7 linked regions of the Macaca mulatta genome follow. The protein of the gene in region 1 interacts with the protein of each later gene in a pairwise test. Links are inferred from orthologs where the notes say so. Each region holds a gene or a part of one and is shown in the gene's direction. Other genes may lie near its edges. The genes, in order: FATE1, SEC22C, SYNDIG1, TIMMDC1, BNIP2, BCL2L2 and CD79A.

Region 1 (2,558 bases):
GTAGGTTGCTCAGCCTCTCAGCTAATACCTGCATGTGAAAGTTCTTGCAGAGGACAGAGACCCCTGTCACTGCTCTTCTTTTGCCACAGCCTGCCTGGATGACCAAGAGCTACCGAGGAGCATGGTGCGGGTGGGGTGGTGGCCAGCAGCCTGTGTGGAGTTCCCAAGCTTTCCTAGAGGCCTGAAGCTGCCAGCCCTTGATTCCAGAGACCAGGCACCATGTGACTCCCCATGGGGTGCACCATTGGTTCTGGGCAAACTGGGGAAGCCACTCACGTGGGGCTGGGCAGGCTACTTTACTGATCATTCCTTTCTTCAGGGGTCCCAGCTGCCAATGCCCAGAATGCTGAGAGAATCAGGCCATGGGGATGCCCATCTCCAGGAGTACCCTGGCAATTTCCAAGGCATGCGTTTCCATTATGATCGGTAAGAGCTGAGGGTCTGTGGGCCCTGGCTGCTCAGACAGGGCCCAGAGTGGGGCGGAGGGGCTGGTGAGCAGCTTGGCCAGGACGGAGTCATGAGGGCCTGGAATGCCTCCCTGTCAGAGACCATGAGCACCCTGGCTCCCTGCCCATTTGGGGCATCCCAGTGCTCTGTGGGCTAGCCGAGTTGGGCTGGGCCAGGCTGGGCCAGGCTGGCTCAGGCTAGCTCAGGCTGACTCCCAGTCCTCAAGGCCCTAGGCCCTCTTTACCATGGGAGAGGACTGGAGGCTCATAGTCACTGTCCAAGAAGTTCCTGACCTTACCTGCTTGACCTCATTGCCTTCTTGTGCTCACTGCCAGGTCCTGCCGGGGCCACCAGCAGCTTTGACCCTCTGTCTTTTTTCTCTCCCAGCAACCCAGGTACAGATGCAGTGGCACAGACTAGCCTGGAAGAGCTCAATGTACTGGAGATGGAAGTCATGAGAAGACAGGTGAGGAGGGACCCAATTGGTGGGTGCAAGCAGAATCACAATGCCTTGGAGTAGTCAGGGCTCAACATCTGGGGTCTTGTAGCCCCTTACAGTCATCTTTCCCTTTAGCGCTGGAGGTAGGGCAGATTCCCTTCCTTTTCCTCCTCATCCCCATGGCTCTGACCCAGGTAGATGTCCAATCTCAAACCTACTGCTGTCCCTGAGATGCTGGCAGGGAATAGGGGCCGATAAAAGGTAAAGGAAGAGGGAACATACAAGGATAAGTGTTCTATGTCCAGAGAGAGAGTGATACCCAACAGTCTGAGAGAGGGGTCGCCTTTGTTCAAATCAAACCCAGACCTTCTCAGGAGGAGACCCTTCCTCCCTTGGCCCCCCGGAGCAGCTGGAATGGGCTGGCCTCTTCCAGAGAATGGAAGTGAGCATCAAGGGAGAAGGCAGAAGTAGCGACTGCAGACGCAGCAGCCAAGTCTTTGGTCCAGCGGACCTGGCCCAGCCCCCTGCTTCTCACTAGGGGCACTCCCCGCTCCACCGCCAAAGGGCAATCAAGCCCCTTCTTGCTTTAACTTTATGCTTTTCCGATGGCTGAGCTGTGGGCTTCTGGAGAAGAGCCTGGCTCAGTAGTCCTCCCTTTGGCTCCTCTGCAGCTATATGCAGTCAACCGGCGTCTGCGCGCCCTGGAGGAGCAGGGCGCCACCTGGCGCCAGAGGGAGACCCTGATCATCGCCGTGCTGGTGTCAGCCAGCATAGCCAACCTGTGGCTGTGGATGAACCAGTGATCGCCCCCGCGCGGCCTCCGTATTGGAGCCCTCCCTGCTTCCCCTTCTTTCTTTCCTCTTTCCCTGGGCCGCCATTGCCCATCCCCCTTTTATCTCCCAGCAGCCCTCAGGCAGCGTCAGGGTCATTTTCAGCTCTGGTTAGGCCTCCTACCTGGGGAGGTCAGGTCACTGCATTGGGAGGTCCTGGCTGCTGCGAAGGTGGAGGAGGACTGCATGGGCTGAGATGCCATCCTTTGAAGGGTGAAGAGCATGGCGGCATCTGGACGCCACAGTAACACCTAGTGGCAACCTTGCCTTCCTGACCTCAGCGGCCCTTCTGTTCCATCCTCTGTGGGCAGGGGTGTGGCTTTGTTTTCCTCCCTCGTTTGCTTCCACCTCGTGCACAACGCTCTGCGCAAACATCATGCTCAATAAAAGTTCCGCCATAGCAGCAAAACTCTGTGGCTGAGGTTCCTGTGTCCAGCACTCATTTGGGGCAACAGTGGGGTTGGGGTGCACTGAGGAACAACAGCGCCTCTTCACAAAGACCTTGTGGCTGGGACTGAGCCTCTGCCATTGCCCCAGGTGCCCTGGTTTCCTCCTCCCTTTCACCTTCCCCGCCTCACTGTCCCCAGCCCCAGCTTTGCAAAGTTCTTCCTGTTGGGCTGATGCAAATGGGTGCTTGTGGGTGTGTGGTTCTGGGAGCATGTCTGGACTGTGTTGCAGGGATGCAATCAGAGGAAATCTCCTGAAAGGGACCAGAAACATTCTCATTTGCACAAGAGGAAATTGAATTCCAGAGGGAGGAAACATGTACCTGGGTCATCCAGCGAGACAGGGCCTGGGTGTGAGTTCTGTGGTTTGAGTTTTCCTGAGTCCTACGCTAGGGT
Region 2 (4,377 bases), on another chromosome or scaffold:
CGTCAAACATGCAAGTACAGTCCTCTATTGTTTAATAACCAGGACGGATTCTGAGAAATGTGTAATTAGGCAATTTCATCATTGTGTGAACATCATGGAATGTACTTAAACGCACCTAGATGGTACGGCCTACTACACACCTAAGCTATATGGTCTATTTGCTCCTAGGCTACAAACCTGTACAGGATGTTACTCCACTGAATACCGTAGGCAACTTTAACACAATGAAGTATTTGTGTATGTAAACATAGGTAAACATTAAAAAGTTACACAAAAAAAAGTATTCTATATAAGACCACTGTTAAGAGACAGAAATGTCATTTGGCGCCTGACTGTATACTACTTCTCACCTCAGGGCTGTGCTGTTTCCCTCTACCACGAATGCTCTTCTTAAATATGGCTCACTTCATCTCTTTCTGATACCTGCTTAAATGTCATCTTCTCAAAATGGCCTTGTCTGACCAACTTATTAAAATAGTATCCCAACTGCAAGTCACTGTTTTCTTCCTAGTTGTCTGTCTTCCCCCCAATAGAATATAAACTATAAAAGGAAGAGTGGCCTTTGTTTTATGCGCTGCTCTATCTCCAGACCCTAGAACAGTAGCAGGTTCTCATAAGAATATGCAGAACAAGATGTTGCACAGTGTATATATATGCCTCCAATTAAAACTTCTGTCACAGATAACAAAAAAACCTAAGAAAACAGTTTGAAACCCTGCACGCTCTGCTACTTAGAATAAAGTAACTATGCTCTAGAAGGAAATGTTTCATTTTCAAAAAAATACACTTTAACAAATGGCTGGACTCCCAAAAGACAAAACAGTAACGCTAAGTGCATGCATGCTGCAATTCTGCTGATACAGAATGCTCTGGTTTATCACAAAGGACGTTCATTAAGCCATTTTCCCAGGAACCACGAAATTCTAGCTAAAGATTCTTAAGGAAAAATAGAGGCAGCGTTAACATTAAAGTAGTGATATATCGTGATTAGGAAACACACATTTCCTACTAGTTGAAACTTCATGGCACCAAGCAAGATAACCGGAAATCGGATCGGAAGTGTCTGCCCCACGGAGACACTGGGAGAGAAAAAGTCCTCAAAGAACTGCACCTCCTTTTCTTGGCGCCAGGCTGGCTACTAGGACTCAGTCCGGAGATGCAGGGGGCGGTGTGGGGTTTGGGAGGAAGAGGCCTGGACTGCGAGTTTGGGGTGTGCCCAGGCCACCTTCCTCTCCCACTGATTTTCTCTCAAGAGAAAATGGAAAGTTGACTGCGCCTCCTACCCGCTCCCAAAAAGGACGGGGGGAGGGTTACTGAGGGTAGACCCCTCCCCTTCGCCTAGGCAGGCCTCGGCCCCAGCAGCGCTCCCCAGTCTCCAGCTCACCCGGCTCCCGGTTGATCTCGATGTCGAAGTGGCACTGCGGCCGGTCCTGCGCCCCCATCGCGACCGAGGTGGCGGCAAGAGCTGGGAGAGAGGGGGAGGAAAGCGGTCAGGGCAGGGGCGAGGGCGGGGGCGAGGGCACGGGCGAGGGCGGGGCTGAGACGAAGTCCGCGCCACGGTGCCTCACGCCGGCCCGTCGCAACAGCGCAGGAGGCCAAGACGAGGCCCCCTCCCGCCCCAGGCCTCGCGGCTCCCACGCAGCGCGTACGCATGCGGGCGAGCTCTTCACCTGGCTGGCCTCCAGCCTGAGCGGGTCCCAGTGAGCAGAGGAGAAAGCACTGCCACTGCAGCCAGACCCCAACGCCGCTAACGGAACGCCACCTCCTCCTCCGGGCCCGGCCTCCCAAAGCCACGCTAAATCCCGCGAGAGTCGGGACAAATACCGCGAGAGTACAGTCTAGATGGGGGTGGTCAACCGGAGGTGGTGGCAGCGGGGGCGCACGCTCGGGGGCGTGTCTGGGGAGCTCTCGAGGAGCCTCCAGCCGGCGCTCCTATACCTGCGCGCTCCCTGTTTGCCCCCCCGCTTTGAAGTCAGTTGCCCAATGTGAAAGCCGTGGATGCGCCTGCGCCCTCCGTCTCGTCCGGCTGTGAGCGTCTGCGGCATTTTCGGATACCGCCAGACTTCCCTGTTTCTGAGCGCTGTGAAGGAGCTGAGTGAATTGAGGCTTTGAGTTTTCGTTAGCCAAGAGGTCGTGTCACTCTGTGTTCCTGTTGGCCGGGGATGGTTATGTCCGTGTCCTACTGTTAGGTCTTTTAGGCTGAGGAATGTGTTCCTTCCCGCTTTGGCACCAGCGTCACTGGCACCGTTTCTGTTCTGTGCTTACTGGCCATTCTGCATCTTTTCTGAAGTTTCAGTTCCAGTCTTTGCGCGTTTTTAAATCTGGTTCTTCGTGTTTAGCAGCTCTGGATACAAATGTTTTGTTAGATAGATATATGTATGTTCTGAATAAAAATCTTTTGTTACATAAATGATTGCGAAGTCTTTCTCCCAGTCTGGGCCTGTCGTTTCATTGTTTTGAGTATGTTTTTGGCAAAGTTGTTTTTAATTCTGGTGAAGTCAATCTTTTATGGTTTGTGCTTTTTCTGTGCTAGGAAATCTCTGCCTACCTCAAGTTCGTGAAGATATTCTGTGTTCTCATATATGTTTTACATAGTCTTTTACGTGTAAGTCTATGATCTAATAGCATTAATTTTTGCTTATGTTGTCAAGTGTCACATTTTCCTATCGGGATATACAGTCGTTCCATTACCATTTGTTGAAAAGACTCTTACACATTGAATTACCTTAGCCTTGTGACCAAATTTGTGTGGGTCTATTTCTGGATTTTTGTTCCAATGATCTGTGTATCAGTACCACACTATCGTTTAAGTTTTTTAACTATAAAATATACATTACATTACAGTTGCCATTTTAACCATTTTTAAGTGTACAGTTCACTGGCATTAATTGTATTTCACACGGTTGTGCGACCCTCAGTACCGACCATCCATCCACAGAACATTTTCCATCTTGCAAAACTGAAACTCTGTATCCATTAAACAGTAACTCCCCATTTCCCTCTTTTCCCAAGTTCCTGGCAGCCACCTTTCTACTTTCTCTCTGTAAATTTGTCTACTCTAGTATCTGCCTACTCATATTTGAGTAGAATCATACAATATTTGTTCTTTTAAGCTGGGCGCGGTGTCTTACTCCTGTAATCCCTGCATTCTGGGAGGCCTAGGCGAGTGGATCACCTGAGGTCAGGAGTTTGAGACCAGCCTGGCCAACATGATGAAACCTCATCTCTACTAAAAATACAAAAAATTAGCAGGACGTGGTGGCGGGCACCTGTAATCCCAGCTACTCAGGAGGCTGAGGCAGGAGAATCGCTTGAACCCAGAAGGTGGAGATTGCAGTGAGCCGGGATCATGCCACTGCACTCCAGCCTGGGCAACAAGAGTGAAACTCTGTCTCAAAAAAAAAAAAAATTGTTCTTTTGTAACTGGGTGATTTCACTTAGCATGTCTTCCATTTCATCCATGTTGTAGCATGTCAGAACTTCCTTTTTTGAGGCTGAATAATATTCCATTGTATGTATATATCATATTTTGTTTATCCATTCATGTGTCAGTGGATATTTAGATTGCTTCTACCTTCTGGCTATTGTAAATAGTGCTGTTATGAGCGTGGGTGTACAAATACCTCTTTGAAATCTGCTTTCAATTATTTTTTGTATATGCCCAGAAATGGAATCACTGGATCATAAACTAATTCTATTTAAGATTTGTCCAGGAATTACCATAGGTGAAAAAAAGGATGATAACCAATGCAGGTGTGCTATTAACCAGCTACCGCAGTTGCTGATTGGAACGTAATCCTGCTGGGGAACTCTGGGAACACATACAGAAGAAACATGTCAGGATTATCCCACCTGAGGATATCTCTTGAGAGTCCCTGGTTGAGAGATGCTCCTGGGGTGATAATCATTAGGTTCTTCTGGCCTGCTACACCTGGGCAAAGCAGATTTCCAGTTTTAGGAAAATATCCTCAAGAATAGAGATGCAATATGGACAGTTGGGATTCAGCTGGAGCACAGTTAGAGGAATAAAGTTCAGTTAAGTTAAAGTTCAATAAATGAAAGTGAAATGCTGATAGCTTCTGCCACAACTGGCAAGTCATTTTGTTGTTTGCAAACAAGGGAGTGCTTAGGAATGGAGAAACGCAGACGTTTTCTGACGTACGGGAAGCACTTGATAATTTCCGTGTGGAATTCCTGCAGCCTCCATGTCTGGATGATCATTCAGGCATTTCTGGGCTTGCATGGTGCCCTGGTCTGTGCCAGGGTGTGAGTCTTTTTTTATCTTGCCAGTCTTAGGAGGTCCCTTATAGTAGGGCCCAGTGCCCTCCCTCCTTAATTTCCTCACAGTAGAGCCAAGCTCAGGGCCTGGTCAAATGA
Region 3 (3,754 bases), on another chromosome or scaffold:
TGTGCCTATCTCAAGATGCCTCAGTAGCAGATTCGTGTTTGGGACTTGACACCTCAAGATCATCACTAAGTAGGGATTATTGCAATCACATAATTTCCTGCTTGAATGAATAGCCATGTACCTGGGAAGAGCTAATCCCCATTACAGATTTGCAGTTCTGTTTTCCTATGGACTTGTCGGATGCTAATGTGATTGGGTTTACCCGTGGGTTTCAGGATGTCTGCTAGCAATCAAAGGTTCCTCTAGGCTGCAAGGGAGCCAGCTCCTGCAGTCTCCTTCATTTGGAAGCAGAGACTTTATAGAGATTCAGGTAATCAGTTTCTGCTACCTCTGGCTAGCCACCCCGACAGATCCTTTTTAACATTCACTGAATAGGTAGGACTGCATTTTGTCTAACTCTCACAGTTACTATGCATTTATCAGCTGATTGGTACAGTCTGAAACAATGTGGGTCTGGGTGATTAGCTTGTTTTTAAGTGTGATTCTCTTGTCTCATCTCTGTTTTCTCCTCCTCCAGGAGAAATGGGTTCCCTGAGACAAGTGTGACCTACGTGCCCAGCCCGCCAGCCTGACGCCTAGCCAGAGAGAGAGGACCATGGATGGCATCATTGAACAGAAGAGCATGCTGGTGCACAGTAAAATCAGTGATGCTGGCAAGAGGAATGGCTTAATTAACACCAGAAACTTGATGGCCGAGAGCAGAGATGGTCTGGTGTCTGTTTACCCAGCGCCCCAGTACCAGAGCCACCGGGTGGGGGCCAGCACAGTGCCGGCCAGCCTGGACAGCAGCAGGAGTGAGCCGGTGCAGCAGCTGCTGGACCCCAACACCCTGCAGCAGTCGGTGGAGTCCCGCTACAGGCCCAACATCATCCTCTATTCAGAGGGTGTGCTGCGTTCCTGGGGGGATGGTGTGACCACCGACTGCTGCGAGACCACCTTCATCGAGGACCGATCGCCCACCAAAGACAGCCTCGAGTACCCCGATGGGAAGTTCATCGACCTCTCAGCTGATGACATAAAAATCCATACCCTGTCCTACGATGTGGAGGAGGAGGAGGAGTTCCAGGAGCTGGAGGTTAGAGGATGTGTTTGTCAGAGGCCCTCTAGGAATGTGTGATGGGGATTCTAGGGTGGGCAGGAGCCATGAATGCCTATACACTGTAGCCCAGAAATTAGGGAATGAAACTAGTGTGCAAAAATGCAGAAACCAAAGGCAGTCTTGGTGCCCTTCACTCTTGAATGCTTGTGGAAGATAGAAGGAGAGGAAAGACTTAGATTAACAGAAAGCCAGTGATTCTGGTATGAGATGACCCCAGGTAATGGCTGTCAGATGGGGCTGCAGAAGGCAGTGCTGGTGGGTTCATCAGTTTTCCCTGCTGTCCCTCATCCCATGAGACAGAGAGGTCATTGACAAGAGGAGGGAGGAATGCTTGATCCCAGAGCCACATGAGGCTGGAAATGTATTGGATGGGAGACACTTTGGGAGGTGTTTCTGCTGTCACCTGTGGTTCCTTGACTTTGCATTCCACAGTTACTACTGAGAGATTGTTGATAGAGCTGAACCACGCTGGAAGAAAGTGTAGGTACTGATAGCCTAAAGGGAAGATAAGCTGACTTTTTTAGAGGACTGGAGGGCAGGTGACAGCATTTGAATTACACGCACAGAGATGTGCACATTGCACATTGGATATAGCATGGTAGGCACAGTGGTTGCTGGGTATGTGGCACACTGGCCCCCTAGGGCAGCACTGGGTGACAGGGTGAGAGCAGCGGCTACAGGCCATGGACTAGTGGTTTGCTGCCCATGCGCTCCCAGACTTTCCGCTGCAGTGAGGCCAAGGATGTTTTCCCAGGACGCGATGTCAGGGAGACTTGGGCCAGGTTTTCCGTCAGTTTGGTGGGGGAGGAAACCGCCGAACAGGTCCGACCTTCAGAGGCAGTGTGTGGCCAAAGGGGGAAGGAAGGGATGTCTGTTTTTCACTAAGGTAGGTGAGAACATTTTTGTAAGTAGAGAGGAAATGTTCAGAATGGAAAATTCAGGATCGCGGCCGGCGGCTGGGGAGTGGTCTTGGGGAGGCAGGAGCTGTACTCCAAGCATGTATGTGTGAGAGATGGCCTCTCAGAAGAAGTCCACGTGCTGGCCTGGGAGAGAAGAGAAGGGTGGGGTAAGGGAAACTTTCAAGCGCTCTAGGTTGAAGAGGAAGGAAAGGAGGGGTTCGTGTTGGCTGAGTATCAGCAAGCCAGAGAAGCTCTTGGGGTGTGTTGGGGTGTGGGGAGATTGCAGACAGTCTAGAGCAGTGATCTGGGGGAAGTGCCCATTCTAGAAAAGACTTCTGGAGAAACTGCCCAGTTGCAGTATGAGTTCGTGTGAAGATCTGGTCAGACCCAGGGCTCCGTGACTTTCTCCAGCCGTGTGGGACCATCTTTAGCAGGTGAGGCTCTCTTGGCAAGGTGTACTCTGCCTGGAAGGTGGAGGAGGCAGGAGAAAGCAAGAGGGAGGAAGTTTGGAGCCGAATCAGACCCACAACCATGGGACCCACGCTTGATAGAAAGGCCGGAGAAATTGCAAGGGAGTGGCAGGTCAAGGAGACCAGAGGATCAGGATTGGAGACCTCAGTGAGAACTAGGAGCCAAGAGATCCGGCTTTAGTCAGGAGGGAGGATCAGCAATGGAGAGGGAAACTTCGGTGCAGCCCCAGCCAGTGGAGCCTGGGAAGCCCACTGGCAGGGAGTGGAGAGTCGTAGCATGGAAGAGGACCAAGATGTGATGCCTGGGCATCTGCGGAGGTCCTAATGCCCTCTGGTGACCCCTGTAAAGGGAGGGTGCTCATGATGCAGCTGTGGAAAGTTGGGAGCATGCTTGGCTTCTGTTCAGAAGCCTCTGTCCCTGTCTACTGTTTTGCAAGATCTGAGGGCTTTGCTGACAGCGAAATATAAATAAATACTGCCCAACCCGCATGGAGTGGAATTAGGGAAGCGAATGCACGAAAACGCAGCCCCAGGAGTTATGGGAACGGAATACCCCATCAGCTCTGAAGAGGGGCTAGGGCCCTGAGCTCAATGCAGGGTTCAGAAGTCATCACACAGGCAGGAGCCCTCCCCCGGCTATATCTTGAGGATGAGTAAGAGGAGGCTTGAGGGGAGCTGGCAGAGAAATTCCAGTCCAAGAGGACCTGGGGAGCACAGAGGCAGCAGCTCCAGAGATCTGCAGGGAAGAGGAACTGGTCAGAAATGCGGAGGCCTATGGGAAAGACGGGGAGGAGACAGGTTGGAGAGGGAGGGGGTTCCCATCAGCAAGGACCTTATCAGCCACCTAAGGGAGACTGGATTTATGCAGAGTCACAAACTCAGATACGTGTGAGACAGAAGGGACCCACCAAAGAGTCAAGAAGGAGCCCTGGGAGGGGGGGGCCTGGAGCCTGGAGAGCCAGGCCCCACCCAGAGCATCTGTCCCCTCTGCTTCAGGGTCACTGCTGTGCCCCACCACACAGGCCGTGTTGCTGGGAAGCCTGAATAGATTTGTTAGAGTAACCAAGAGCCAGAATGCACCAACATTTAATCCACAAGACAACACAAAGTGAGCAGGATGTCATGTGGAGGACCTGGGAATCGCAGGAGGAGGCCTTGGCACCTGCACGTGACCATGCAGGTCCATGGAAGGGTCTCATGCAGAAGGGCTGTGGTCAGATCTTGATCTGTGTTTTCAGGAGCTGCTCTGACCAGGAGTGGGACAAGGATGTAGAGGAGATGGAGGC
Region 4 (4,233 bases), on another chromosome or scaffold:
TATCTTGGTGCCTACTTCTACCTAACATGAGATAAGCAGCAACCCAGAGCCAGAAGTCAGGGAATCTAAATTATTCATTCAACAAATATTTACTGAGCACCTACTACAGTTCTAGGTCCTGGAGATACAGAGATGAATATATGTGGTCTGTGACCTCAAGGATAGTTTATTGAGACGGATGAACAAATAGGAAATTATGATGCAGTGTCATAAGTGCCATGATGAGTGCTGAATCAAATATTGTATCCCAGAGTAGTCTTTGTAGCGCCGTCACTAATTCAGCTGGTCACTCTAGTCAGCCACTTCTCGGAGACTTGTGTATAGAATTTCCAGCTATCAAATTCCAGAAGTCTGTTTACTGTATTCTACTACAGTGTGGCAATTTTGATTTACAACTAGAAAGGAATAAAGGAGGTGAAGGGATTGGTAAAATGAATAAGGGAGCATGCTTGTTAAGGATTGAATGAAATTACACGAATACTGAAAATATTTTAAATGCATTCATTTTAATGAAAACTATACTTCGAAGCATGTTAGCAGAGGTTGTAGTGACGGCAAATTATACAAACACAGAAATTCCAGAAATTCTCCTGCCTTTTGAGAAGCAGTAGGCATATGAACTAAAGGGAGTGAAATCCACCTTATGAAGAGCTGCCAAAAAGCTGATTCTTCAAAAAAGTGTTCTCGAAATCTTGGTGTAACTGGCACCAAGACCCATCCCCTTTACCTGCACAAATCGCCTTTCCCTCTTTCCCTATTCCACTTGCACTGAATATTGCACTTTCTTCCTCACTGAAGCGGGATTCCTGGCTTTTTTTTTTTTTTTTTTTTTTTTGAGACGGATTTTCGCTCTTGTTGACCAGGCTGGAGTGCAGTGGTGTGATCTCGGCTCACTGCAACCTCCGCCTCCTGGGTTCAAGCGATTGTCCTGCCTCAGCCTCCCAAGTAGCTAGGATTACAGGCGCCCGCCACAATGCCCAGCTAATTCCTGGCATTTTAATTACGCTAAATTACTTCAACCTATGACCACCTCAAGCTGAATGTAACTAGCCGCAGACGCTGTTTGCATGACCCAGGAACCACTAAGACACGGAACGAACGCCTGCCGGCACCACGCAGAGCTTCACTACCCGCAGCGAACTCACTTCCGTGGTGGACTCAGCACAGCAGTGGCCCGACCCCCCCTCAACCGGAAGTCTTTTGGGCTCCGGCTTTGCCGTCGCCCGGCCCCCTGGCCTTTGCCCCGATTGGGCGGGACTTCCTGTGTCGTATTTCCAAGGACTCTAAAGCGAGGCCCAGGACTGAAGGCGTTGGTGTCGAGCCCTCTGGCAGAGGGTTATCCTGGGCCAAATGCACGGATTCTCACCTCGTACAGTTACGCTCTCCCGCGGCACGTCCGGGAGGACTTGAAGTCTTGAAGGCTCAATTTGTCCGTAGGTCGAGAGAAGGACATGGAGGTGCCGCCACCGGCACCGCGGAGCTTTCTCTGTAGAGCCTTGTGTCCATTTCCCCGAGTCTTTGCTGCCGAAGCTGTGACTGCAGATTCGGAAGCCCTTGCGGAGCGTCAGAAGCGGCCTCTCTACGTCCCAGAGCCCTATTACCCGCAATCTGGATGGGACCGCCTCCAGGAGCTGTTTGCCAAAGAGTAAAAGTGCCTGGGGTCTGAAGTGGGTAGGGGGACGCGAAAGCGATGTCCTGCAGCGTTGGCAGCCTGGGTCAGCCTTAGGACGCCAAGTGTGCTTCATTTTTAAATTATATTTAAAGGTTCTGATATTTGTAACCCAAACTTGTATCTTTTTTTTTTTTTTTTTTTTTTTTCCAGACAGGGTCTTGCTCTGTCGCCCAGGCTGGAGTGCTCTGGTGCGATCTCGGCTCACTGCAACCTCTGCCTCTCGAACTCGAGTGATCCTCCCACTTCAGCCTCCCGATTAATTGGGACTACAGGCGCGCGCCACCACGCCCGGCTAATTTTTTTAAAATATATTTTTTATAGACAGGGTTCTTACCATACTGCCCAGGCTGGTCTTGAACTCTTGGACTTAGGTGATCCTCCTACCTCAGCCTCCCAAAGTGCTGGGATTACAGGCGTGAGCCACCGCACCAGCCCAAACTCGTATTTTTTTTTTTTTTTGAGACTGAGCCGTGCTCTATCGCCCAGGCTGGAGTGCAGTGGTGCGATCTTTGGCTCACTGCACCCTCCACCTCCGGGGTTCAAGCGGTTCTCCTGCCTCAGCCTCCCGAGTAGTTGGGATTACAGTTGCCCACTACCATGTCCAGCTAATTTTTGTATTTTTAGTGGAGACGGGATTTCACCATTCAGCAGGCTGGTCTCTAATTCCTGACCTCACGTGATCTGCCTGCTTTCGCCTCCCAAAGTGCTGGGATTACAGGCGTGTGCCACCGTTGTTGGACTGAGCCCGGCCTAGAAGGGAAATTATTTTATAGTAACTTAATACTTAAGACAGCTATTTGTTAGAGCAGTTTCAGGATGACATCTTGGAAGCTTCATTAGCAGTTCTAGCTTCTTATGCGTTTAAGAGTAACAAACTGAATTAAATAGTAGCTTTTCCTTATTATTTTAGATTAGCATGTGCCACCCACTGCATAGTGAACTTTCTCAGTGCGTTTTTTAAAAAACATATATTTATTTGTTTATTTTTAGAGCCAGGATCTTTGCTACGTTGCTATGCTGTCCAGAACTGGGCTCAAGTCCTGCCTCAGCCTCCTAAGTAGCTGTGACTACAAGCATGTGCCACTGTGCCCAGCCCAGTGCTTTTATTAATACAGTCCTATCTGAGTATTTCATGAAATTATTTAGTAAAATAGAATTTAGATTTTTTGTCTTAACGTCCACGTTTTTTTTTTCTTTGATACATTGCCCTAAAATCTCACGAGTTGGTGTGATTTCTTAAAGTTAGCTTAAGATTTAAACGGAAATATTGGTCTATCTAACTCACAAATTCTTCCTGTTTCTAGGGGTGTAATAGTCATCAAATAAAAGCACCTTTTAAAAAACTTTTTATTGAAGTAGGAAATGCGTTTCAAAAAATGTACATAAGTAGACTGATGAATGCATTTTCACAGACTGAACATAGCTGTACCCAACACTCAGAAGGAAACGGCAACTATTATCACATCCCAAAAGCTCCCTTTGTGCCTTTTCCAGTCATTGTCTTTTCAGGAGTTGCCACTATCCTAATTCTAACAGCATAGCTTCGTTTTGTCTGAGACTTACGTTCCTTTTAATATAACTGAACTGTTTAATTCATCTGCGGATTCTACCTATGATGAAAAATGTTGTGGTGTTAGCATTCGGGATAATTCTGATTATAGATTCTTTTGGAGAGCAATGTCCATAAACTAATCCCAAACAACATTGTCTTTTTGATGTTGTAGTGAACAGCAGAGAATTTCAAAGGAACTTGCTGATATCTGTAAGATGGCAGCTACAGCAGGCGTCCTCGGCTGGGTGTATGGGGGTATACCAGCTTTCATTCATGCTAAACAACGTTACATTGAGCAGAGCCAGGCAGAAATTTATCATAACCGGTTTGATGCTGTGGTATGTACTGGTGGTCTAAAGAAATTTAGGGCACACTGACTTAGCAATTCACTTTACACTTAATCATTCAATTAGCTTGTGGGGATGGAGGGTTGTTTTAAAGTGTCAGAGTAAAGAAATAAAGTCTATACTTAATAACAGTGGAAGTACTAACATTAAAGTGCCTGCATGTGGCTTGAGACTACTTTCTTATCTTCAGAACAGACATGTTTGGCATCACCACTGTGGCTTTTCTTTCTGAAATATCTTTCTTCCAATCCCCTGCTAAATCATCAAGGCTCAACTGTAACATATTTACCTCATTCACAAAGCCTCCCTGAGTATAGGAGCTTACACTAAGACAATAGTTAACATTTATAACTTTATAGAGTGCTAACTCATTTGTTACATCATTAGATCTGTACATCAGTTCTATGAGAATATTAAAGCTCAGAGAATTTTTAACTTTTTATTTTGAAATTATGGCAGGCTTGAAAGTTGCAAAAATAGTACAAAGATTTCCTATATAACTTTCATCCAGATATTCCACTGTTAACATTTTACCGTATTTTATCATTCTTCCTCTGTATAATATGTACTAATTTTTTCTGAACTACTTGACAGTAGGTTCTAGACATGATGAATACTTCAGTATGTATTTCCTAAAAACAAGGAAATTCTCTTATACAACC
Region 5 (3,754 bases), on another chromosome or scaffold:
TTAAATAGACTTCTGCATGTATACTTCAAAATATTATACATACATTTCTGCTTTATAAAACTGATCAAATGAGAAGTGATCACTGAGTAGTTAACCACTTCCTATCTGGTATTACAGTTAATTTATGTGCTCAACAACAACAAAATTGGCTCCCAGATAGCTACTTGAAGTAACCTATAGTCATAACTGCCAGGGAGAATATTGTCACAAGTTGAATCTGGAAAGGCATTGTAAGGCACATGTACTAAGATTTTGATGACTCTATGAATTATATTTTCTGAACTTGTGGATATATGATATAAACCACTATGATTAGGTGGTTTTTGCTAAATTGGGCAATAAAAAAAGTTAACCATGATTTCCAAAGACATAAAATGGCCTCATGTTAAGAATAAGCCTTTTCCTGCATTATGGAAGAGATATTTAAAATTGCACAGATGGTATAATGAAAATTCTCTGTAAAATCTAGATAGTAAAGTGGTTAACGTATAATTTGATTTTTATTGTGTAACAATTGGTGATTGAAAAACTTTTTATTTTGACAGATGATCTTCCAAAACCCAAGACTACTGAAGTAATTAGGAAAGGCTCAATTGCTGAATATACAGCAGCAGAGGAAAAAGAAGATGGACGACGCTGGCGTATGTTCAGGATTGGAGAACAGGACCACAGAGTTGATATGAAGGCAATTGAACCCTATAAAAAAGTTATCAGCCATGGGGGTAAGAGTTACTGAACATTTTTCAAATTGTTTAATGTGGTATCAGAATTCTCAATAGTTTTAGAAACTCTGCCTAGAGATATTACGTAATTTTGAAAGAATAATAAGCATTTATCATATCATTTTAGAAACATGATAGGTTTGAAGTAAAAGAAGAAAAGTACCATTTTTTTCTCTTTTTGCTTTTGAGATGGAGTCTCGCTCTGTGGCCCAGGCTGGAGTGCAATGGCGTGATCTTGGCTCACTGCAAGCTCCGCCTCCTGGGTTCACACCATTCTCCTGCCTCAGCCTCCCGCGTAGCTGGGACTACAGGTGCCCACCACCAAGCCCAGCTAATTTTTTTGTATTTTTAGTAGAGGCGAGTTTTCACCGTGTTAGCCAGGCTGGTCTTGATCTCCTGACTTTGTGATCCACCCGCCTCAGCCTCCCAAAGTGCTGGGATTACAGGCGTGAGCCACTGCGCCCAGCCAAAAGTACCATTTAAAAATGATTATATACCTACACTAAGTTGAAAAAGTACAAAAGAATTTGTAGTGAAAACTGTCAGGTTGGGCATGGTGGCTCAGGTCTGTAATCCCAGCAATTTGGGAGGCTGAGGCAGGAGGATTACTTGAGCCCCGGGGTTTAAGACCAGCCTGGGCAACATAGACCTTGTCTCCACCAAAAAAAAAAAAAAAAAAAAAAGCCAGGAATGGTGGTGTACGCCTGTAGTCTCAGCTACTTAGGAGGCTGGGGTGGGAGGAGAGAGAGCTCGAGCTTGGGAAGTTGAGGCTTCAGTGAGCCGTGATCATGCCACTGCACTCCAGTTTTTTGTTTTGTTTTGTTTTGTTTTTTGTTTTTTGACCCTGTCTCAAAATTTTAAAAAGAAATTTTTTTTTAGCTGTCTCTAGGCTACCCAAAACTGGGACTGTACTTTCTCCATAATTTATAAACAGTGAAATGCCCTGATCTTAAGTGTACAATTCAATGAGTTTTGACAAATGCCCATATAACTGTATATTCCCATATATATAACCCACACCCCTAAACATATAGAACATTTTCATTGTCCCAGAATAATTCTTTAATACCCCTGCCCAGTGAATCCTCACCTTGGTAGCCACTGTCATATCTACCGCCTGATTAGTTTTACCTGTTCTAGAATTTCATATGTAGTAACTGAAATCATCCTGTACACTCTTTTGTTTACTTTTCAGTATGAAGTTTTGGAGATTCATCCATGTCGTTGATGTATCCACATTACATTCCTTCTTATTGGGGAGTAGTTTTCCATTGCATGGATAAACCATAATTTGCTTATCCATTCTTTTTTTTTTTGATGTGCATGTGAGTTGTTTCCAGCTTGGGCTATTATAAACAAAACCGCTTTGAGCATTCTTTTAGAAGTCATTTATGGATATAAGTAAAACTTGGACTTTTTTTTTGTTTTTGAGATGGACTCTTGCTCATCACCCAGGCTGGAGTGCGGTGGCGTGATCTTAGCTCGCTACAACTTCTGCCTCCCTGGTTCAAGGGATTCTCCTGCTTCAGCCTCCCGAGTAGTTGGGATTACAGGCGTATGCCACCACCCGAGCTAATTTTTTATATTTTTAGTAGAGAAAGTGTTTCACCGTATTAGCCAGTATGGTCTTGATCACCTGACCTCATGATTTGCCCACCTCAGCCTCCCAAAGTGCTAGGATTACAGGCTTGAGCCCCTGTGCCCAGCCCTAAAACTTAGACTTTTTAACCTTAACTCTTAATGTGCCTTAAAATCCTGAACAAATTTTTTTTTTCCTTTTTTTAATTTTTTTGTTTTGTTTTGTTTTTTGAGACGGAGTCTCGCTCTGTCACCCAGGCTGGAGTGCAGTGGCGCAATCTTGGCTCACTGCAACCTCTGCCTCCTAGGCTCAAGCAATACACCAGCCTCAGCCTGCCAAGTAGGTGGGACTACAGGCACGCACCACCATGCCCGGCTAATTTTTGTATTTTTAGTAGAGATGGGGTTTCACCATATTGGCCAGGCCGGTCTTGAACTCCTGACCTTGTGATCCACCCGCCTCAGCCTCCCAAATTGCCTGGATTACAGGCATGAGCCACAGCGCCCAGCCCAAATTATTTTTTAATAGAGAGCTCATTCACTCCACATTTTTATAGAGTACCCACTTTCCATACTTATGGGATATACAAAAATACAAGGCTTAAGTCCCTTCCCTTAAGAAACAGGAAAAGCTATAAAAGTTTAAGTTACAAATCCTGTGAATCTAACAGTACCATATATAGAAGTTTACCTAGGCACATTGTAAATAGTGCTAGAATGTTAGTGGCAAGTCAGAACACAACTCACTGTAGAGCATGTCACACTACCTTAAATCCTCCTAACACAGGACAGAGTGGCACATGGGTCAAGCAGATTGATTTTTTTTCGGAGTCATTTCCACTTAATTTACCACTTACTTTAATGCCAGATGCATTCCCCTGCTTATTTCTACAGTCTTCATTCATCTGAAAGCAAATCACATGAATATTTGTAGTTGCATTCTTCTGCCTAATTTAATCATACTCAGATGAAGAAAATGGCATAATCTGGATCAGGAAGTCCACAGACGTATATTATTCAGCTAGTTCACTGGAATCAAATTATAAGGCCTGATTTATGGCTTCAATCTCTTTCAGAAATAGCACTTTTTTATAGGGGAAAATAAGACCACCTTATCTTACTGCATTATCACACTTAATATATTTTGTGACTGAGTGATTAAGAAAGGTAGTGAAGATTCTGATGTTCTTGAAATGTTCAAATCTTTTCAAATGCAAATTTGTAAACAATAGAAATGAAGGTTAAAGCAGAAGTATTTGCTACTAAATATGGGCTTAATATCTAAAGAAAGCAGTTGAAACATAGGTATTTTAGCGCTGTTTTCCATTACTGAAAATTATGTCAGAGATGTAATTTAGTTTTTGGTTTTCTTTTTTTTTTTTGAGACCCAAGTCTTGCTCTGTTGCCCGGGCTGGAATGCAGTGGTACAGTCTTGGCTCACTGCAGCCTCCGCC
Region 6 (4,318 bases), on another chromosome or scaffold:
AATTTCCTCATTCATAGAATGAGGATAAAACAGCATAAGGATTAGTGACAGGATAAAATATACATGTAAAAAAAGCACAGCATCTAATAACTCCTCAAAATATGTTTTTACTTTTTTTTTTTTTTTGAGATAGAGTCTCGTTCTATCACCCAGTCTGGAGTGCAGTGGCATGATCTCAGCCTCCTGGTTTCAAGCGATTCTCATGCCTCAGCCTCCTGAGCAGCTGGGATTACAGGCTGGCTAATTTTTGTATTTTTAGTAGAGATGCGGTTTTGCCATGTTGGTCAGGCTGGTCTCAAACTCCTGGCCTCAAGTGATCCACCCGCCTTGGCCTCCGAAAGTGTTGGGATTACAGGTGTGAGCCACCAAACCCAGCTAGTTGTTACTATTATTGCTGCAGAAAAGACCTTACTTCTCAAGTGACCATAAGGGCAGATGGTAATACAGAGGCTTGGTTTGGAGGTAGAAGCAAAGGGTACTAGCAGAAGAGGAGAACTGGGTCGCCTCTTTCTGGCCTTTGGTTGGGTTGCTTTTTAAATGGAGCTGAAGAAAGTGCCAGATCCAAGAGCCCAGGGGGCTGGCTGTGAGTGCTCTCATGTGGATCAGCTGTGGTCAGATTGCTTCACACCTGTGACCCGCCCTGTATAAATATACTGCCATGTATAAATAATGGCCCCATGTATATGTAATCTGGAAGGATAAACATCAAGCTTAACAATGGCAACCTGCAGGGAGGGAAGTGGAATTGGGTGTGTATGTGTGTGTGTGTTTGAGAACCTGTATTTTATTACTCCATACCTCTTTATTGTTTGATTTTTTTCACAATGAGAATTAGTTCCTGTGTTGGGTAAAAAAAAAAGAAAAGAAAGAAAGAAAAAAAACCACTAAAATCAATCTGATTACAAAAGAAGATGAATTAAAGAAAAGTACCGGAAGAAACTGCTTGTGATCCAAGTCCTGGCTCCTTGATGCCTGGCTGAAGCCCAGCCCACAAAGACAACACTGGGTTAAAGGTCCTGGAGAAAAGATGGGAAAGGTTTGGTGTCTGTGTAGTGTCTGCTAGTCCCAAAAGGGTAAGGCACCTAGTAGACGGTTCCCAGCTTAATGGGAACTGCTCCTGTTTTCCAGGCACACAATTCAGGGCTGGAAAAGTTCAACAAGTGCATGGAACATCGGAAACCTCCTGGAAATGCTAAATTTGCCCCAAGATGTCCTGAAGTCCGGCATATTTCTCTGGGCAGCCTCGAGGCTCAGGAGCCCAGCCCAGCCCAGCCCACCGTGCCCTCTCAGGCAGCCCTTCACTGCCTTCAGCAGCCCTCCCTCTTCCTGAGTAGTGGCCCTTCGCAGGCCTGCGTCCCAGCCCCGCCCCTCTCTCTGGACGCATCTTTGGGCCCCATCATCACCCGGCGCCGGGCCCTCCCTCTGCCCCCCCTTTCTCCTCCCTCCTTCCTTCCCTCCCTTCCTCCCTCTCTCCCTCCCTCCCAGCTCCTGCACCAGGAAACGGCCCGGATCCCGGCAGCGGCCTGACCCGTGAGATCCCTAACCTGGCAGGCGGGCGGGGTTGGAGACTGGCTGAGGTGGGGGTAAGGGAGGAGTTGGGCCTTTGGGCTGCACTAGGGGGAACCGCGAATACAGATGGTGTCGGCAGGAAGCCCTTGGCCCTGGGTTTCCCGGGAGGACAGTCATTAAACATGGATTCGGCCACACAGCTGGTAGAGCGTTGGGGGCAGGGGCCCAGGCCCAGAGCTGCAACCCTAGCCGTTCCCAGGCCAGAACCTGATCCCTGGCCTTCCCCTCCTGGTTCTGATCTCCCCCTCCCCTTTCCAGAGCTCCACGCTGGCCGGGAGGATGAAAGGCCCCAGCTGGGGGCTCCTTGCCACCAGTGCTGTGTCTTAAGAGCTGCCATCCCGGCTGGGTGAGTGTCTCCTTCCTTTCTCTGTCTGGAGTAAACCATTGCGTCTCCCACCTTTCTCTTCGGCCCATCTGCTCCCCCTCATCTTGTGCCTCTGCCAACATCTTTATATCTTGCATTTGGGGAGGTCCTAAGCCCCTTCCTCTAGCCAAGGAGGTGTGGACTAAGGAGGCCCAGGGGTGGGAGGGTTGTAGGGGTGTCACAGAGCTGACGTTGTCTTATTATGAAAAGAATCTAAAGTATCTCTAAACAGAAAATGTACTTGTTTTAAATGTAATTTGGCATATTAGGAATGTAATGGCCAGCCCCTCACAGCCTGGTCTCATATCATGACTTAATTCCCTTGTTCTTGCCTCTCCCTGTCCAGTGAGCTCTGAGCATTTCTTCTCTCCTCCTCATCTCACTGGGTTGGTCAAACCAGAAATGCCCCTTCTGATTCTCTCTCCATATATTCATGCCAGTGTTTCATCCTTGCCTCTTATAGCTGCCCGGATGGCGACCCCAGCCTCGGCCCCAGACACACGGGCTCTGGTGGCAGACTTTGTAGGTTATAAGCTGAGGCAGAAGGGTTATGTCTGTGGAGCTGGCCCCGGGGAGGGCCCAGCAGCTGACCCGCTGCACCAAGCCATGCGGGCAGCTGGAGATGAGTTCGAGACCCGCTTCCGGCGCACCTTCTCTGATCTGGCGGCTCAGCTGCATGTGACCCCAGGCTCAGCACAGCAACGCTTCACCCAGGTCTCCGATGAACTTTTCCAAGGGGGCCCCAACTGGGGCCGCCTTGTAGCCTTCTTTGTCTTTGGGGCTGCACTGTGTGCTGAGAGTGTCAACAAGGAGATGGAACCACTGGTGGGACAAGTGCAGGAGTGGATGGTGGCCTACCTGGAGACGCGGCTGGCTGACTGGATCCACAGCAGTGGGGGCTGGGTAAGAAGCTTCTCAATTGCCGCTCTGCACATCCCTCTGCAAAGCTGGTTTCCAGGGGGAAGATGGGAGCTCTGATTGGAGACTGAGGCAGCTATGTTGGGAATGAGGTGCGGGGCTGAGTCTCCCCGTCTGGGTGGAATCAGATTGAGAGATGCCTGGACTCTGCACTCCAGGGCTGCCATGCAGTCAACACTGGATGGGCTCATGGTCCCAAGCAGAGGACAGAATCCACACCCAAGGAGTGCCTGCAGGGGAATGTTGTCAGGGACTTTTTGCACCTGAGTCATGGTGTGGGAGGTGGGGAGGACCAGGGATGGGTGGTGGTCAGGCAAGCCTTGGCAAAGGATGCTAGTTCTGAGCAGAATTTTTCGCCAAGGAAAGGATGGAATTCACTGGAGGCAGAGTGGGCGGCAAATGAACCAGTCTCTCAGGGTGGGGGTGCACCTGGGGGGATCAGAGGGGCTTGCAGCCAGAAGAGCTTTGACCAGAGAGGAGCTGGGTATGGGGTAGTGTTGGCAGTGGATGGAACTGGAACTCTTCCTCTCCTCTTCTGTCCACTCTTTCCTCTCCTGATATCCCTTTCTCCTTCTTTCTCTCCTACTTCCCTTCTCTCCCACAGGCGGAGTTCACAGCTCTATACGGGGACGGGGCCCTGGAGGAGGCGCGGCGTCTGCGGGAGGGGAACTGGGCATCAGTGAGGACAGTGCTGACGGGGGCCGTGGCACTGGGGGCCCTGGTAACTGTAGGGGCCTTTTTTGCTAGCAAGTGAAAGTCCAGGGCCAGGTGGGGCTAGGTGTGGCTGGGGGCCAGGAGAGCAGGAACAGAACAGAGAAATGCCCTTGGAAGAAATGGAGTTGGTGGATGGGTGGGCATGGAACAGGATGGGCAGGGGAAGGGTAGTGTGTGAGGCAGCTGAGTAGGCCAGGTAGGCGATTGGAAGAGTGAGCAGGACACATAGGTGAGGGAAATGTTTTGGCAAGTTTAGGGACGCAGGAGATGGAGTCGATCCAGGGCTGGGGGATGTGGGAGGGATCACACCTATAGGTGTGGGCACATGAAATGACCTGGAACTTGGTTTGCAGCCCTGAGGAAGGTGGACTTGCATAAGCAGTTGTATTCCATTAGATGAGTGGGATTTGGGGAACGCAGAAGGCACATCCTTTTGGAATGGAAGCTTGGGGGTTCTCAGGTGATAGGGAGAGGTGGCTGTAACAGTGGGCTGCTTGGACACACGTGTGCATGTGCACGCATGCTGGTGTGCATGCTGGGCTGCCTGGCAAATCTGGTGGTGGTGGGATTCCTCAAGGAGAAAACATTCCCTCTTGCAATGGCAAGAACTAGGGGCAGTTCTCTGTCCCTCCTCCCAACCCCTCCTTTCCCCTGCCCTTGTCCTGATGCCTCAAGGCTTAGAGAGAAACATTGTATCCAGACCGAGGGCTCTGCTGCTTCTCTCCAGAAAGTAATTGGCAAGGCTTTGAAGAG
Region 7 (4,436 bases), on another chromosome or scaffold:
CAGGAGTTCAAGACCAGCCTGGGCAATATAGCAAGATCCCATCTCTCTAAAAAAAAAAAGAAGAAAAATATATGTTATTATTATTATTATTTGAGATGGAGTTTCACTCTTGTCACCCAGGCTGGAGTGCAATGGTGTGATCTCAGCTCACTGCAACCTCCCCCTCCTGGGTTCAACTGATTCTCCTGCCTCAACCTCCTGAGTAGCTGGGATAACAGGCATGTGCCACTACATCCAGCTAATTTTTTTTTTTTTTTTTTTTTTTTTTTTTTTTTTCTGGAGACGGAGTCTCGCTCTGTCGCCCAGGCTGGAGTGCAGTGGCCGGATCTCGGCTCACTGCAAGCTCCGTCTCCCGGGTTCACGCCATTCTCCTGCCTCAGCCTCCCGAGTAGCTGGGACTACAGGCGCCCGCCACCGCGCCCGGCTAGGTTTTTTTTGTATTTTTTAGTAGAGACGGGGTTTCACTGTGTTAGCCAGGATGGTCTCGATCTCCTGACCTCGTGATCCGCCCGTCTCGGCCTCCCAAAGTGCTGGGATTACAGGCTTGAGCCACCGCGCCCGGCCAATTTTTGTATTTTTAATAGAGATGGGGTTTCACCATGTTGGCCAGGCTGGTCTCAAACTCTTGACTTCAGGTGATTCTCCCACCTCAGCCTCTCAAAGTGACTCTTGCTCCTGCCTGCCTCCGTGAGGCTGTAGACGCCCCTTCTCCTTCGCTGGGCTCCCTACAGCCCCACATTGGCCCAGCTTGGCACAGATACGATTTCTATAGGCATCTTTCCTGGCTCCCCTACCCTCTGCCTCCTCTTCCCTTTCCCTGAGCCCCCTTCCCTCTGCCTGTGCCCTCTCTGCAGCCTCCACATCTCTCCCCACCTCCCGCCACCATACCTGGCCTGAGCGTGAGCCACCATACCTGGCCTGTTTTTTAACAAAGAATTCCAGTAAAGAGCTGATCGTGGCTCTAACTCCTGGAATACCAGAAACACCATCTCATATCACATAATGAGACAGGGAGACATTCTGGTCCTCATCTCACAGATGAAAAATGTCAAGGTTCAAAGGATAAAAGTGCCCACCTAGTCACACGGGTACTCAGCCACAGGTCAGCCTGCCTTATTTATTCTTCATGAGCATTTATAGTGACTAACATTTACTGAGCGCCTACTATGGGCCATTTCTGTGCATGCAACAACCCCTTTTAAGTCCTTGTTTCTAATCAAGAAGCAAGGAAATGGGGTCAGGGAAGGGACAAGGTTTCCCCAAGTCCAGGCAGGGGCAGAGGTCAAGCTCAGAACCATCACCTGCCCACAGCACATGCCCAGGACTCAGGTTCCCTAGGCTTCCTTCCAAAGGCTCAGCAGTGACGAGCCAGCCCTTGAACCAGCCTCTTCCCCCACCCAAGCAGCCACCTCTCAGGGGAATTGTGGCCACCACAGGTGCAGGGAGCAGTTCCTCTCCACTCACAGCCTGAAGCCTACCCGGCAGGGGCTGTCCCCAGGCCCAACAAGTAAAGGGCCCAGCAGCGAGGGCCACTGGAGCCCATCTCCGGGGGGCTGGGCAGGAAGTAGGGTGGGGTTTGGGGTAGGGATCTGGTACCCGGGGACTGCTGCAACTCAAACTAACCAACCCACTAGGAGAAGATGCCTGGGGGTCCAGGAGTCCTCCAAGCTCTGCCTGCCACCATCTTCCTCTTCTTCCTGCTGTCTGCTGCCTACCTGGGTATGTGGCCAAAGGGCAGGAACTGGTGGGAGGTGGGGGAAGATGTGGAGGCTGCAGAGTGGGCACAGGCAGAGGGAAGGGGGCTCAGGGAAAGGGGAAGAGGAGGCAGAGGGTAGGGGAGCCAGGGAAGATGCCTATAGAAATCGTATCTGTGCCAAGCTGGGCCAATGTGGGGCTGGAGGGAGCCCAGTGAAGAAGGGGCGTCCACAGCCTCACGGAGGCAGGCAGGAGCAAGAGTCACCTCCCCCACCTCCTGCTCCCCACAGGCCAAAATAAGGAACTAAAGTTGCTCTTGACTGAGCACGAGGGCTGGGGACAGGAAGGGGACTTGAGGGTAGTAGCATTCAGCGTCTGTCAAGGGGAGAAAAAGCTTTATCTGCCTTAAACCTCAGGTGCCTCTCTGTGTTGGGAGTCCCTTCTGAGCACTGGGGGAACAGATGTCTCATAGATTCCTCCTCACCCGCTCAAGGACAGCTGGCAGGGGCTGTGGCCACGCTAACCCAGGAGTTCAGAGAAGAAGGTTCCCCACCCAAGCGGACACTGGGAGCAAGGATTGGAGCTCACGTCTGAGTCTTAAGCCCATGATGATAAGGGTGCTCGGCCCCTCTCCCCACCTCTTCCTCCTTCTCTCTTCCTCACTTCCCTCCTCCGCCTACCTCCAGAAGAGGGGGCCGGCCATGTGGGAGGCCTGGCTGAGAGCTGGGACTTCCCAGAGGAGCCCAGATTGGACACTGCAGCCAGCCTGAGCAGCCCGGTCTCACTCAGAGACACCCCCAGTCTCCACCCCGCTCTGACCCCCTTCGCTCACCAGCAATCCAGCCCGAGGACTGAACTCACCCCTGAGTTGACACATACAACTTACAGAGAATGAGGGCCAGGCACAGGGTCACAGGCCAGGGCAGGCCACAGACTGGCTCCTCAGCCCAGGCAGGGAGAGGCCAGGGAGCCATGAGTTTGAACCCAGTGCCACTCCTGACTGCCTGGTGATGCTGGCAAACCGCCAGCCCTCCCAGGGCCTCAGCCATCCCTCCTGTAAAATGGGGCTAAGGAGATAACCTACTTCTAGGGTTCTGTGAATGAATACACAAGAAAAAGCGCAAGGTGCAGGGCCTGGCTGAGGCTGGGGTGCAAAAATAGACCGGGAAGGCTGCGGGAGGAGGGGATGCCTGCACTGCTTCTGGAAGGAGCTGTCTGGACAGCGGTCCTCCAGTGCCTTGAACAAACATCCAAAATCCAGAGAGTTCACAGGGCCCAGAGCACAAAGTGGGTATGTGGGAGGGGGGCAAGAGATGGCGCTGCAGAGGTGAGAAGGGCCTCCCAGGGGTCTCACCATCCCAGGGAGTCTCATTCTCCTCCCCCAGGATGTCCTCACCCACCCCAACCAGTTCTGTCCTCTCTCCCTCCCCAGGGGCCTCTTCACTTTCCCGCATCCCCCTCTCCCCAGGATGCATCAGCCCCTGTCAGGGGCTGTCCCTCTCCCCCCCAACCCAGGAGAGTTCTCACCCTCCTCCCCTCCCCACCCAGAATAGTCCTCACCCTCCTCCCCCCCCCACCCAGGAGAGTCCTCACCCTCCTCCCCCCCCCACCCAGGAGAGTTCTCACCCTCCTCCCCTCCCCACCCAGGCATGTCCTCACCCTCCTCCCCCCCAACCCAGGAGAGTTCTCACCCTCCTCCCCTCCCCACCCAGAATAGTCCTCACCCTCCTCCCCCCCACTCAGGAGAGTCCTCACCCTCCTCCCCCCCCACCCAGGAGAGTTCTCACCCTCCTCCCCTCCCCACCCAGAATAGTCCTCACCCTCCTCCCCCCCACCCAGGAGAGTCCTCACCCTCCTCCCCCCCCACCCAGGAGAGTTCTCACCCTCCTCCCCTCCCCACCCAGAATAGTCCTCACCCTCCTCCCCCCCACCCAGGAGAGTCCTCACCCTCCTCCCCTCCCCACCCAGGAGAGTCCTCACCCTCCTCCCCCCCCACCCAGGAGAGTCCTCATCCTCCTCCCCCCCCACCCAGGAGAGTCCTCACCCTCCTCCCCCTCCACCCAGGAGAGTCCTCACCCTCCTCCCCCCCCACCCAGGAGAGTTCTCACCCTCCTCCCCTCCCCACCCAGAATAGTCCTCACCCTCCTCCCCCCCACCCAGGAGAGTCCTCACCCTCCTCCCCCCCACCCAGGAGAGTCCTCACCCTCCTCCCCTCCCCACCCAGGAGAGTCCTCACCCTCCTCCCCCCCCACCCAGGAGAGTCCTCACCCTCCTCCCCCCCCACCCAGGAGAGTCCTCACCCTCCTCCCCCCCCACCCAGGCATGTCCTCACCCTCCTCCCCTCCTCACCCAGGCATGTCCTCACCCTCTTCCCAGGAGTGCTGGAGCTGCAGGGGCCAGGGCTGGGGGCATGTGTCGCCATCCCTAGTCCCTGACCCACCCACCCTGCCTCTCCACAGGTCCTGGGTGCCAGGCCCTGTGGGTAGATGGGGGCCCAACATCATTGATGGTGAGCCTGGGGGAAGAGGCCCACTTCCAATGCCTGCACAATGGCAGCAACGCCAACGTCACCTGGTGGCGCGTCCTCCATGGCAACTACACGTGGCCCCCTCAGTTCGTGGGCAAGGGCCAGGGCTACAATGGTACGCTGACCATCCAGAACGTGAACAAGAGCCACGGGGGCATATACCTGTGCCGGGTCCAGGAGGGCAATAAGCCACACCAGCAGTCCTGCGGCACCT

Evidence for each region.
Region 2: the proteins of FATE1 (region 1) and SEC22C interact in binary tests that used the Homo sapiens proteins (3 or more experiments, as listed by UniProt). The two-hybrid records come from large-scale screens. The link is inferred for Macaca mulatta from reciprocal best matches to the Homo sapiens genes FATE1 and SEC22C.
Region 3: the proteins of FATE1 (region 1) and SYNDIG1 interact in binary tests that used the Homo sapiens proteins (3 or more experiments, as listed by UniProt). The two-hybrid records come from large-scale screens. The link is inferred for Macaca mulatta from reciprocal best matches to the Homo sapiens genes FATE1 and SYNDIG1.
Region 4: the proteins of FATE1 (region 1) and TIMMDC1 interact in binary tests that used the Homo sapiens proteins (3 or more experiments, as listed by UniProt). The two-hybrid records come from large-scale screens. The link is inferred for Macaca mulatta from reciprocal best matches to the Homo sapiens genes FATE1 and TIMMDC1.
Region 5: the proteins of FATE1 (region 1) and BNIP2 interact in binary tests that used the Homo sapiens proteins (3 or more experiments, as listed by UniProt). The two-hybrid records come from large-scale screens. The link is inferred for Macaca mulatta from reciprocal best matches to the Homo sapiens genes FATE1 and BNIP2.
Region 6: the proteins of FATE1 (region 1) and BCL2L2 interact in binary tests that used the Homo sapiens proteins (3 or more experiments, as listed by UniProt). The two-hybrid records come from large-scale screens. The link is inferred for Macaca mulatta from reciprocal best matches to the Homo sapiens genes FATE1 and BCL2L2.
Region 7: the proteins of FATE1 (region 1) and CD79A interact in binary tests that used the Homo sapiens proteins (3 or more experiments, as listed by UniProt). The two-hybrid records come from large-scale screens. The link is inferred for Macaca mulatta from reciprocal best matches to the Homo sapiens genes FATE1 and CD79A.

The regions. Positions count from the first base shown.
Region 1 is NC_133426.1:157,958,224-157,960,781, forward strand, and holds the end of FATE1 (fetal and adult testis-expressed transcript protein), read left to right. Parts: intron 1-319; coding exon 320-426; intron 427-834; coding exon 835-913; intron 914-1,557; coding exon 1,558-1,689; 3' UTR 1,690-1,946; downstream 1,947-2,558. UniProt on the Homo sapiens protein: Involved in the regulation of endoplasmic reticulum (ER)-mitochondria coupling. Negatively regulates the ER-mitochondria distance and Ca(2+) transfer from ER to mitochondria possibly implicating it in the regulation of apoptosis.
Region 2 is NC_133407.1:105,946,969-105,951,345, reverse strand, and holds the start of SEC22C (vesicle-trafficking protein SEC22c), read left to right. Parts: upstream 1-1,368; 5' UTR 1,369-1,384; coding exon of another isoform or gene 1,385-1,442; 5' UTR 1,443-1,489; intron 1,490-1,670; exon of another isoform or gene 1,671-1,763; intron 1,764-4,377. Other genes in the region: NKTR (NK-tumor recognition protein), read right to left, coding at 1,385-1,442. UniProt on the Homo sapiens protein: May be involved in vesicle transport between the ER and the Golgi complex.
Region 3 is NC_133415.1:59,586,840-59,590,593, reverse strand, and holds part of SYNDIG1 (synapse differentiation-inducing gene protein 1), read left to right. Parts: intron 1-517; exon of another isoform or gene 518-520; 5' UTR 521-595; coding exon 596-1,075; intron 1,076-3,754. UniProt on the Homo sapiens protein: May regulate AMPA receptor content at nascent synapses, and have a role in postsynaptic development and maturation.
Region 4 is NC_133407.1:164,222,395-164,226,627, reverse strand, and holds the start of TIMMDC1 (complex I assembly factor TIMMDC1, mitochondrial), read left to right. Parts: upstream 1-1,276; 5' UTR 1,277-1,451; coding exon 1,452-1,645; intron 1,646-3,396; coding exon 3,397-3,562; intron 3,563-4,233.
Region 5 is NC_133412.1:36,997,321-37,001,074, reverse strand, and holds part of BNIP2 (BCL2/adenovirus E1B 19 kDa protein-interacting protein 2), read left to right. Parts: intron 1-545; coding exon 546-722; intron 723-3,754.
Region 6 is NC_133412.1:96,405,890-96,410,207, forward strand, and holds the start of BCL2L2 (bcl-2-like protein 2), read left to right. Parts: upstream 1-1,478; 5' UTR 1,479-1,712; intron 1,713-1,827; 5' UTR 1,828-1,915; intron 1,916-2,396; 5' UTR 2,397-2,404; coding exon 2,405-2,836; intron 2,837-3,455; coding exon 3,456-3,605; 3' UTR 3,606-4,318. UniProt on the Homo sapiens protein: Promotes cell survival. Blocks dexamethasone-induced apoptosis. Mediates survival of postmitotic Sertoli cells by suppressing death-promoting activity of BAX.
Region 7 is NC_133424.1:52,914,687-52,919,122, forward strand, and holds the start of CD79A (B-cell antigen receptor complex-associated protein alpha chain), read left to right. Parts: upstream 1-1,419; 5' UTR 1,420-1,640; coding exon 1,641-1,719; intron 1,720-4,154; coding exon 4,155-4,436. UniProt on the Homo sapiens protein: Required in cooperation with CD79B for initiation of the signal transduction cascade activated by binding of antigen to the B-cell antigen receptor complex (BCR) which leads to internalization of the complex, trafficking to late endosomes and antigen presentation.